Caenorhabditis elegans: one gene and its partner. The protein of the gene in region 2 interacts with the protein of the main gene of each other region in a pairwise test. Each region holds a gene or a part of one and is shown on either strand. Other genes may lie near its edges. The genes, in order: efa-6 and arf-6.

The links.
Region 1: the proteins of arf-6 (region 2) and efa-6 interact in a two-hybrid assay, tested with the Caenorhabditis elegans proteins (one study listed by BioGRID).

Annotation. Positions count from the first base shown.
Region 1 is NC_003282.8:12,611,644-12,616,941, forward strand, and holds the start of efa-6 (Exchange factor for Arf-6), read right to left. Parts: upstream 3,082-5,298; 5' UTR 3,077-3,081; coding exon 2,927-3,076; intron 2,555-2,926; coding exon 2,407-2,554; intron 1,987-2,406; coding exon 1,747-1,986; intron 310-1,746; coding exon 157-309; intron 1-156. UniProt on the Caenorhabditis elegans protein: Guanine nucleotide exchange factor for arf-6. Involved in response to injury in mechanosensory neurons. Inhibits axon regrowth via microtubule dynamics, possibly by inducing axonal microtubule catastrophes.
Region 2 is NC_003282.8:16,945,015-16,950,340, reverse strand, and holds arf-6 (ADP-ribosylation factor 6), read right to left. Parts: upstream 3,222-5,326; 5' UTR 3,214-3,221; coding exon 3,132-3,213; intron 3,065-3,131; coding exon 2,961-3,064; intron 2,871-2,960; coding exon 2,773-2,870; intron 2,690-2,772; coding exon 2,589-2,689; intron 2,369-2,588; coding exon 2,308-2,368; intron 962-2,307; coding exon 880-961; 3' UTR 607-879; downstream 1-606. Other genes in the region: rad-54.B (DNA repair and recombination protein RAD54-like), read right to left, coding at 232-274; Y116A8C.9 (Transmembrane protein 185B), read left to right, coding at 3,541-3,587, 3,639-3,716, 3,769-3,867, 3,929-4,025, 5,311-5,326.

The DNA of each region.
Region 1 (5,298 bases), 4.3 Mb from region 2:
TTTTTGTGATATTTTTGGAAAGTGATTCTATTGGTTTTCAATAAATATTTCCGTAGAAAAGTAATAACATTTTTCGGTAGCTTTTAGTGTAAAATTTGAAAAAAAAAGCACACACAATTTCATTTTTTCTAAAAAAAATCCAGCAAAAAAGGTTACCTCCATTCGATCGAAGATGTGGTGAAAGTGTGGATATTTGTGGTGACGAATTGTACGAATGATGATGATTATCAGTTGGCATTGTGAACATTGCACTACGAAGACTTTTTGCAACGATCTCCTCGTTCGGAGATTTCATGTCGTTTGATACTACTGAACAAAAAAGTTTTCAATGTGAAAAGTGCGAAATTTATGCCATTTTAAATAATATTTAAATTAAATACGTTGATGTGTTCTTGGAAAATGTATTTTATAATTTTTTGAAAAAAATCGGCAGGAAAACTGATTTTTTTCAAAATAAGAGAGCAATATTTTCTAACAGAAATCTAGATTTTTCTTAAATATTCAAATTTCAAAAACTAAATTTATTTTGTTAGCGTTTTTCAGCTTATTTTTCAGCAACTTTTCGTTGGTTAAAATTTAAAATTAAATGTTTATAAAATCTTTAAATTTCTATTTTAAGTTTTCTAGCACTTTATAGCTCGATTTTTTCCATAAAGATCTCAAATTTCAAGCAAAAACCCCAAGTTTCAACCTAAAACCCTCTTAAATGAGTGCTAAACAACCTCTAAACGGATAAAAATGTTAGTGTGCAGTCAAGTGAGAGAACATTCAACACAACAGAAAAACACAGTACTACCGGGTGGCCTGAGGAGGAGGGTGCTAACGCAAATAAAAATGTGTGAATGGAAATTGATAGAAAAAAATGTGGTGGCGGTGGAAAAAGGATAGATAGAGAGACAGAAAACATTCCCTATTATAACTGTGCCGATCGCCTCCGGGAAAGCATTCTAGAAATGAAATTTGTTTCGGGTTTTTCTTCGAATTTTGTGCAATTCGAAGCTATTCTAAAGAGTAGAGGGACTTAAAAGAATTTTCCGATTTTTTGGCTTTCATACTTAAGTAGACTGAAAATGGCTAGAAACGGCCGAACATCATAAGGAGATTTTTCAAAATTTCAGTTTTTTGGGGGCGGAAATTTCCAAAAAAGGGCTAAATATTGCTTAAGTTTAGAATTTCGCAAAACTTTTCAGTGTCAGAGGCAGGGAATCAGTTTTTTTTTCATTTTTTGTATATTTTGGTGATCTAGTTTGTTGATTTAGGTTAGCAATTATTTTTTTAAAAAACACTTTTATTGAAAAAAAAACCATAAATTGGAAAATATATTGTTTGAATTATAAAACCTCAAGTTTTAATCCAAAAATATGGAAAAATCAGTTGTTTCGATTTTAAAACACTTTAATTTGAAAAAAATTTCAATTGTCCGTGTTTTAAGGACTAAAAACTTGGTAAGAAAATTGCAAAACAAATTGCAAACATTCTGATTTATCAGGACAAAAACATGCAATTAGTCATCAAGATCGTGAGCGTTTCTTTTTTTTGAAAAAAATTAGCCATATGTTTTTATCGGTATGTTTTAATTTCTAGAAATTTTATAAAAACAATTTTTCTGTTTAGAAAAAAGGGTTAAAAATCAATGGAAAATCGTAAAAATTGTGAGATTTCTTCTTCTTCTTTTCGAAAACTTTTTGCATCCAATTAAATCCAGATGTTTCATTTTTTTTTCGTTTAAAAATTTCAAAAGCTCACCAATAAATTGTTCTTCATCAACAACCATCACTTCATCATCATTTTCATTTGGTTTCTTCTGATTCTCTTTTTCATCAGTAGTCATCATTACAGTTTCTTCTTCACTTTCCTCTACATCAGTGCTCTCCATTCGTTCAATTGGAGCTGTTTTAAGCATTCGAATAGCTGTTGGTGAAGACTCTTCTGACGTTTTTCGTGCCAAACTACCACGTCTTTCGATTTGGCTTGTTGAAACTGGAACTTTTAGAACATTGGAATTAAAAGATAGAAAATTATGGAAAACAGTTTTTTCTAATTTTTTAGAGCTAATATTCAAGTGATTTCTATAAATTGAGCCGAATATTCCAAATTTTCAGCTTTTTTTTTATAGTTTTCAGAGTTTTCAGAGAATTTTTTCAGAAATTAAATATAAAGTTTTCAGGTAAGCTGTTCTGCTGACACTTGCACCTTTTTTAAGCTTTCAGAAAAATTTTTCACAATTTTTTTTGTATTTTTCGTCGGAACTGGAACTTCGGGCACATTATATATAACTTTTAAGCCAATTTGAGTATAAAATGCTTTTTTTTTTAATTTTGCAAAATTTCAAGCGATTTTTACGGAAATCTCAGCTTTTTTTGGAGAATTTCTCACATTTTTTTCGCAAAAGCCGTAAAGTGTTACCTGGAAGTCTTGACAGTTTCTGGGCCGCCGCTCCGTTTCGATTCATCGATGGAAACGAAACTCCCGCAGAGGCGGTGGCTCTTGACAGCTGATGTGGGTGAATGCTCGATGCAACTGTGGTACCTGGAGGCAGTTGGTCGCCGAGAAGCTGAAAAAAGAAGGGAAAAGGTTAAGAAGAAACACTTTTTTTCACTCAGGAGGGAGGGATGAAAAGATGAGGGCATTTTAAATTTATTGGAAAACCACAACTTTTATGCCTAAAAAATTTTTAAAAAAAATTTTGAAAAGAAATTTCAGTTTGAGGCCTCAAATCGCAGAGCATTATTTCAGAAAAAAAATATATTGAAAAATAGTTTTTTTTTTAATTCTTCAAAAAGGTCTTTGGAACATTTTAATGACCGAGAGCTGGAAAAATGAGAAAAGTTCAACTGTATACATTTTCCAAAAACCAAAATTTTTGCTATTTTTTGGAAGAAAAACATTTGAAATTTTTAATTTTTTCTAAAAATCAAATCCAAACCTTTGCATAAGTGCTCGAAACGTTCCGATTAAGAGAAATGAGCACATCACCGGACATTACAAAAGCCTCGGACTTTTTGACATTCCGGCGAGGGGCTCCATCAATGGTGGCCAGTGCCTCTTCGGCTCCCGACGACGCCACCTTCGCCATCACTCTGAAAACGAGATGATTGTAGAATAAAAAACGTTTGAAAAAGTATAGAAAAGGTGTCAAGAGGTATAATATTTCGATGACGAATTCAACAATGACCATCAGAGTGTTTATATAAACACGTGATGGAGGTGAGTTTATTTTCAAAATATTCACAAGCGGAAGCAACAAAAAAACACTTCAGCACCGTAAATTTATTCGAAAAGTTCCCTTTTGATTTTAGCATTAAAAAATAAAAATTTGGAGGAGAATTTGATTTTTTTATAAGAAATTCACAACTTTTCGGGCTAAAATGCTTAATTTTGGGCCACTTTCGCTAATTTTTTGTGTATTTTTTTTTCAAATTTCCTTATTTTTTAATGTAAATATTTTATAAACTAAAATGGTGTTTATTTAAGTTTTTTAGCATTGAGCATGAATAAGAGAGAAATTGATACAAGATGCTTTGCGAAAAAACACCAAAAATCGAGAATTTTAGATCAAAACTATAAAAAAATAAATGCACACTTCTTCTCACGGAGTACACGAGCTGCGTAAATCGACAGTCTCAAAGATTACGAAGTTTGAAAGTTTGTGCTGACAGTAAAAGATTTTTAGAAATTGCGATAAAATCGCTTTCTGGAAAAGCAAATTTTTCCGAATTATCTAGATTCTTACACTCAATTCGAAAAAGTACAAATCTTTTCAACAAAATCATAAAACTCTGCACAGCTGTTACCACCGGGACGACGTCACACCTCATTCGTCTCCTCCTCCTCCTCTTCCATCACCTCCCTGTTTGCCCATCAGATTGTAGTGTTGTATAATAAAATTCGAGATAGACAGAGAGAGACAGAGAGAGAGAGAGAGAGAGAGAGAGACCTGGTGTGGAACTAAACGTCCATTCCTCCCCGCTGTGCAGAAGACAACAACTGGTCGACTCCCGAAGGTGCGTTTTGAGCAATCTCGCGAAAAGCTGACAGTTGCGCGGAAGGATGGAACACATATTTCCGCCGCGCACACTGATCAGTCAGTTAACAAATATTGTCTCCAGAACGACGCACCCCAGAGAAAGTGATTAGGCGGTAAGGAGGGTTTTCACACCTCACCCCCGTATCATAAAGTTTCTACGGAAGATTAGCGTGATTTGGAGCTGAATTGTATGAAACTAGAAGCTCCAAGAAGGTTCTTGACGTTCCAAAACGTGGGAAGGTCGGAAAAGCGATACTTTGTGGAATTTGGAACGAAAAACTTATTTATGCGAGTTTGTTGCATTAAAGCTATCGAAATTTGCACAGGAATCAGCAATTATAGCGATCAACGATTTTTTCAAAGTTTTCGACAATTTCGATTTCAGAAAAATCGAGCTATACTGAAAACTTTCCAAGATAGATGACGCTAAACCAATTTCGATATAAAGCCAAGCTAAAGCAATTTTTAGCTCTCGTATGTGGTGCGAGGCTTTCCGATTAAGGTTTGATCTACAAATAATGCTGCAATTTTGCCCAAAAAATGTGACTCTTCTCCCGCATTTTTTAAAGATCTACGTAGATCAAACCGAAATGAGCCATCACGTGCTCTCGTCGGCAAAAACGAAAGTACAACGGAACGAGTATTACAACTCGAAGGCGAAGAAGAATCTCCATTGGATAATTGGTCCCTCGCAGAAAGATGAATGGACTTAGAAAACTACGGAGTACGAAACAATTTGGTCTACACCTATTGTTTCAGAATGTTTTCTGTAAAACTAGCGATTTTGTGTAAAATCGAAAGGCGAGGAGACACACAACGAAACAACTGGCAATATAAAACTCGATAAAATTGGCGAGATCCTCTTCTCTTGACCCTAATAGGCTAATCCACTTGATGCCAACACCAACCACGAATGCAAAGTTTTCGATAGAAAATGTCGAACTAACAGGTGTGCACACAAAACGGCGAACGTTTATGACATTTCAGCTTCATCTCCGCCTCTCCATCATACAAACAGATGAACCACGTTTTCAGAGAATATTCATTTTATAGGTTTTCCTCCGAGTTTTATGAAACTTGCCGATGGAATTTGAATGAAGAAGAAACATTGCCTCGAAGTGTGCGAAATGATTCAAACTTTTTAGACTGTTTACTTTTGAAATGGAGAGTTTTTTGGTCATTTTTCTGAAAATAACGACCAAAACTTTGGAATTTGCCGGCTCCATATGAATTCCCAGACACTTGAGAGCTGCAGCTATTTTTCGGAGATC
Region 2 (5,326 bases):
CCCGGGAAAATGGGCGTGGCATTGCTCCGCCCATTTATTGGCTTTTTGTAGAAATTGTACATAGATTCGATTCCCGGCGATATGCGTTCCCTAAAAAATTGTCCGGCTAAGCTCCGCCCCTTTAATGGTGGATTTCAGATTCCAACCATTTTTGGTCGTTTTTTTTTCGAATTTTTCAGCCAAAAATGCCAATTTTTCAGAAATTTTCAGCCTATAGGCGTAGGCGCCTACCATTTCCCTCATAACTATCCACGTTGAGAACCACTCGGGACATCTGAAATATTAAATTTAAATTTTTGGCCTAAAAATCTGAAAATCTGGCAGCAAAAAATATTTCGTCCTAAAGAAAATCAACTATAAAATTGGCCAAAAAATCGATTTTTTAAATATATTTTTCTCCATAAAAAACGATAAAATCACAGATAATGGCAGCGAATATATTTGGAGAAAATTGGAGGTCGCCGCGGCCGAGAAAAACCTCGGTCATGGAGCAAAAATTGGGGAGAAAAGCAGTGATTTTAGTGTTTTTTTTCGGGGGGGGGGGGGGAACTCGGGAAAAACAGTGGGGAAATAAGTGAAAATTGGGCACCTAGGGGGGGGGGGGGGGGGGAAATTTTGGAAATTTATTTTTTTGGGGAGCATTTTGAGCATTTTTTTCGAGTATTTTCTGTGAATTAAAGAGAGGGAAAATAGGAATAAGCATGGCACACACAATGTTAAAATTTAAGGGATTGAAAATTTTTTGAAAAAAAAATTTTTTTTTTTTTGAATTAAAAAAAAATTTAAAACAGAAAAAATTGCAGATAAAAAGTGAAAAAAATACTGTTAATATTTGGCAAGACGCGAATTTTTTATTCCAAATTCTTCAGATAATGTGTTTTACGGCTTGCAATTCTGGCTTAGCCACGTCAGGCCTTCGTGTAGGCCGTCTCCGGTTGAAGCACATGATGGTTGGACGTACCTGCAAAGAAATTAATTGGAAATTATGGGTGAAAATCCGTGGATTTTTAGGTGAAAAATGAAGGTTTTTGATTGAAAATCTGAAAAAAATCAATTTTTTCGGTGAAAAATTGGCCTAAAACCGACAATTTTCGAGTTTGGAGCGTTTTTTTTTAAGGAAAAATGGGTTTTTTTAGTGGAAAAATTGCTGAAAATCCGGAATTTTAGGTGAAAATCGGTTTAAAATCGACATTTTTCGAATTTTGAGCGTTTTCAGGTGGAAAATATGGGTTTTTTAGTGCAAAAACTGATGAAAATGCCGTAAAATCCGGAATTTTAGGTGCACAATCGGTGTAAAAACGGAAATTTTCGAATTTCAAGCACTTTTTGATGAGAAAATTGGATTTTCCGTGAAAAACGGATGAAAATAGCTGAAAATCTGCAAAAATTCGATTTTTTTTGGGAAAATTGGCCAAAAACCGACAATTTTCGAGTTTGGAACATTTTTTTTAAAGGAAAAATGGGTTTTTAGTGAAAAATTGTTGAAAAACTGCTTTTTTTTTGTAGAAAATCGGTTAAAAAAAGGAACTTTTTTTGAATTTTGAGCGTTTTCAGGTGGAAAATATGAGTTTTTGAGTAAAAATTGGCTTAAAATAGCTGAAAATCTGGAATTTTTGGTCGAAAATCGGAGAATTTTCGAATTTCAAGCACTTTGTAATGGAAAAATGGTTTTTTTTTTGTGAAAAAACGGGAAAAGCCGGCAAAACGAGTTTTGGGCGTTTTTTAAGGGAAAAATTGAATTTTTAATGAAAAAAAAATGTTGAAAATATGAATTTTTGTTAGAAAATCGGTTAAAAACGGAAAATTTTCGATTTTCAAGCACTTTGATGAAAAAATTGAATTTTTACTGAAAAAATGCTGAAAAACTGCATTTTTTGATGGAAAATGGCTCTAAAACGATAAATTTTCTAATTTTGAGCGTTGTCAGGTGGAAAATTGGATTTTTAGTGCGAAAACTGATGAAAATGCCTTAAAATCTGAATTATTTGGTGAAAAAACCGAAAAAAAGGCGAATTTTTAGAGTTTTCCGTTAAAAAAAAAGAAGAAAAATTTCGTTTCTGGAGGTTTTTTAGAAGAAACTGAGGGAATTTTAAGCGAAAATCGCTATTTTATGCTTTTTCTCCGAGAAAATTTAAAAAAATTGTATTTTTTGCATAAAAACGAGATTTTTAGTGAGAAATAATCGGAAAAATTTGATTTTTACACCAAAATCTGCATTTTCTACCCATTTTCCGAGAGAAAATGGGTGTTTTTTGATGTATTTTTGCAGAAAAATCAGTTTTTCCTCGAGTTTTTGATGTTTCTTACCAATTCCTGTCTCGAATCCTCGTCAATCCCAATTTATCCTGAATTTCGTGTGGTTTCATCGCTGAAAATTGCATTTTTAGTGAGTAAATCCATTTTTTCAGTAAAATCGGGCATTTTTAAGCAAAAAAAGCTGAAAATTCGAGTTTTTAGGTTAAAAATCGATTTTTTCCGAGTTTTTCGGGGTAAAATCGCTCATTTTTGAGCTGAAAATCGATTTTTTCCGAGTTTTAGGTGTAGCATCGCTCATTTCGCTCAAATTTTCCGCCAAAAAAGCCACAAACCATCGGCAAGATCCTGTTTATTGGCAAAAACCAAAATAATCGCCTCCTTCATTTCCCGATCATTAATTATTCGGTGAAGCTCCATTCGCGCCTCGTCGACTCTGAAAATTCCGAATTTTTCCGTTGAAAAAATCGATTTTGTCCAGGAAAAAAACCAATTTTTCCGCATTTTTCGCCTAAAAACCTGTCTCTATCAGCGGCGTCCATCACAAAAATGAGCGCCTGAGTTCCTGTGTAATAATGTCGCCAGAGGGGTCGAATTTTGTCCTGTCCGCCGACGTCCTGAAGAAAAATTGGGGTTTTTGGGGGTTTTTAGGCCAAAATCTGGGGTTTTTAGGCCAAAATCCAGGGTTTTTGGGGCGGAAAACTCACCCAAACGTTGAATTTGATATTTTTATACGTGACAGTCTCCACATTGAAGCCCACCGTCGGAATTGTGGTCACTGATTGCCCGAGCTTCAGTTTGTACAGAATTGCTGGAAAAAAAATCGATTTTTTCCATATTTCTAGCCGTAAAAATCGAAATTTCCGCCAAAAACTCACTGGTTTTACCCGCCGCATCGAGTCCGAGCATTAATATCCGGAGCTCCTTTTTGCCAAAGATTTTCGACAGGAATTTACCCATTTTTCGATCTAAAAATGTGATTTTTAGGCAAAAAATACCGAAATTAGTGCGATTTTTGAGTAAAAAACTTGAAAAATCAACAAAAATGAGTCATTTTTCGCGAAAATTCGCTTTAAAACGGCGGAAAAAGGAAGAAAAAATCAATTTCCGCGTGGCTCCGCCCAGTTTTGCAAGCGGCGCGCGTGCTATTTGCAAGTGGTGCGCACGGGATTTATTGTTTTCGTGTTTTATTTTTCGTGGAATAAATCGAATTTATTATTGATTTATTCAATTTTTTCAGATTTTCAGTGAAAAAATCATGAAAAATTGCTAAAAATTGAACAAAAAATGGTGGAATTAAGTCTGGGAGTCTTTTTCCGATCGTTTAACGCATCGTAAGTCTATTTTTCGAGCTAATTCACCTAGAAACCCTGAATTTTTTCCAGAAAAGTAATTCTCTGCGCTTGTCTGCTAATTTTCACGGCATTATTCACGTTAAAACTCGATGGAAAAGTCTCATTTAGGTTGGAAATCCTCAAAATATCAGAAATTTCCCGAAAAAATCGATTTTTCCAGCTACGCATTCGTTTTTGCGCCGCTATGGGCCTGTAATCTCCTAGTTTTCGTCGGAGCCATCGTCGGAATTTGCTCTTTTTGCTCAAAACCACCGTCGAGGTGGGAAAAGCTGGAAAAAGCTGGAAAAATGTGGAAAAAATAAAGAAATTTGACATTTCAGAAACGAAATTGTGATGCGTGTCGACTTTTCGGCTATGCTAATCACTGCTACCGAGCACATTTTTCTTTGTACATTTGTTTCGCTGGTTTTTATTAAGGTAAACGATGGAAAAGCGGATTTAAATAGATAAAAATGAAGAAAAATGGCCAAAAATCGAGTTTCTACGTGGAAAAGCGAGTTTTTCAGCGAAAAAACCGAATTTTTTGGACAAAAATCAAGAAAAAGCCGAAAAAATTGCGTTTTTTTCTTGATTTTTTGTCAAAATTGCTTGTTTTGACCTTAATAATCGATAAAATGGGTCAAAAATGTGTAAAAATAACCCTTTTCAAGCCAAAAAACTACATTTTCTGACCATTTTGCTTGAAAAAAAAGTGAAAAATCTTCATTTTTTAGAGCAAAGCTCAATAAAGTAGCTGAAAAATCGATTTTTCTACAGTTTTTGACTCGAAAATTCATAAATTCATTCCTTTTTCACTGAAAAAATGAAAAAAATGAAGAAAAATCAATTTTTCAACTTTAAAATCACAAATTTGCCCAATTTTTTATTGAAAAAATCGATAAAAAAAGGTTTTCTATTTTAAAATATTCAAAAAATCCAGATTTTGAGGTGTTTTTACCCAAAAAACAAAAAAAAATCTATTTTTTTCGATATTTTAACCTTAAAAAATGGAAAAAATCAAAATTTTTGGACTTTTTTACTTTAAAAAAATCGTAAAAATCCAGATTTTTATGTATTTTAGCCCAAAAAAAATCTAGTTTTTTAGTCTTTTTTACCCCAAAAAATCCCAAAAATCCAAATTTTCAGGTAATTTTACCCTAATAACAGCAAAAAATCCAGTTTGTTGTCTTTTTTACTCTAAAAACAGCTAAAAATCTAGATTTTTGGTGTATTTTAGCCCAAAAATCTGGTTTTTTAGTCTGTTTTACCCCAAAAAATGCCAAAAATCCAAATTCTCAGGTCATTTTACCCTAGTAACTGCAAAAAATCCAGTTTGTTGTCTTTTTTACTCTAAAAACAGCTAAAAATCCAGATTTTTATGTATTTTAACCCAAAAAACTAGAAAAATCTAGATTTTTGGTGTATTTTAGCCCAAAAATCTAGTTTTTTAGTCTTTTTTACCCCAAAAAATGCCAAAAATTCAAATTTTCAGGTCATTTTACCCTAATAACTGCAAAAAATCCAGTTTGTTGTCTTTTTTACTCTAAAAACAGCTAAAAATCCAGATTTTTATGTATTTTAACCCAAAAAACTAGAAAAATCTAGATTTTTGGTGTATTTTAGCCCAAAAATCTAGTTTTTTAGTCTTTTTTACCCCAAAAAATGCCAAAAATCCAAATTTTCCGTTCATTTTTCCCTCCAAAACCCGTATTTTGTTTTCCAGCTAGAATTCGATTATC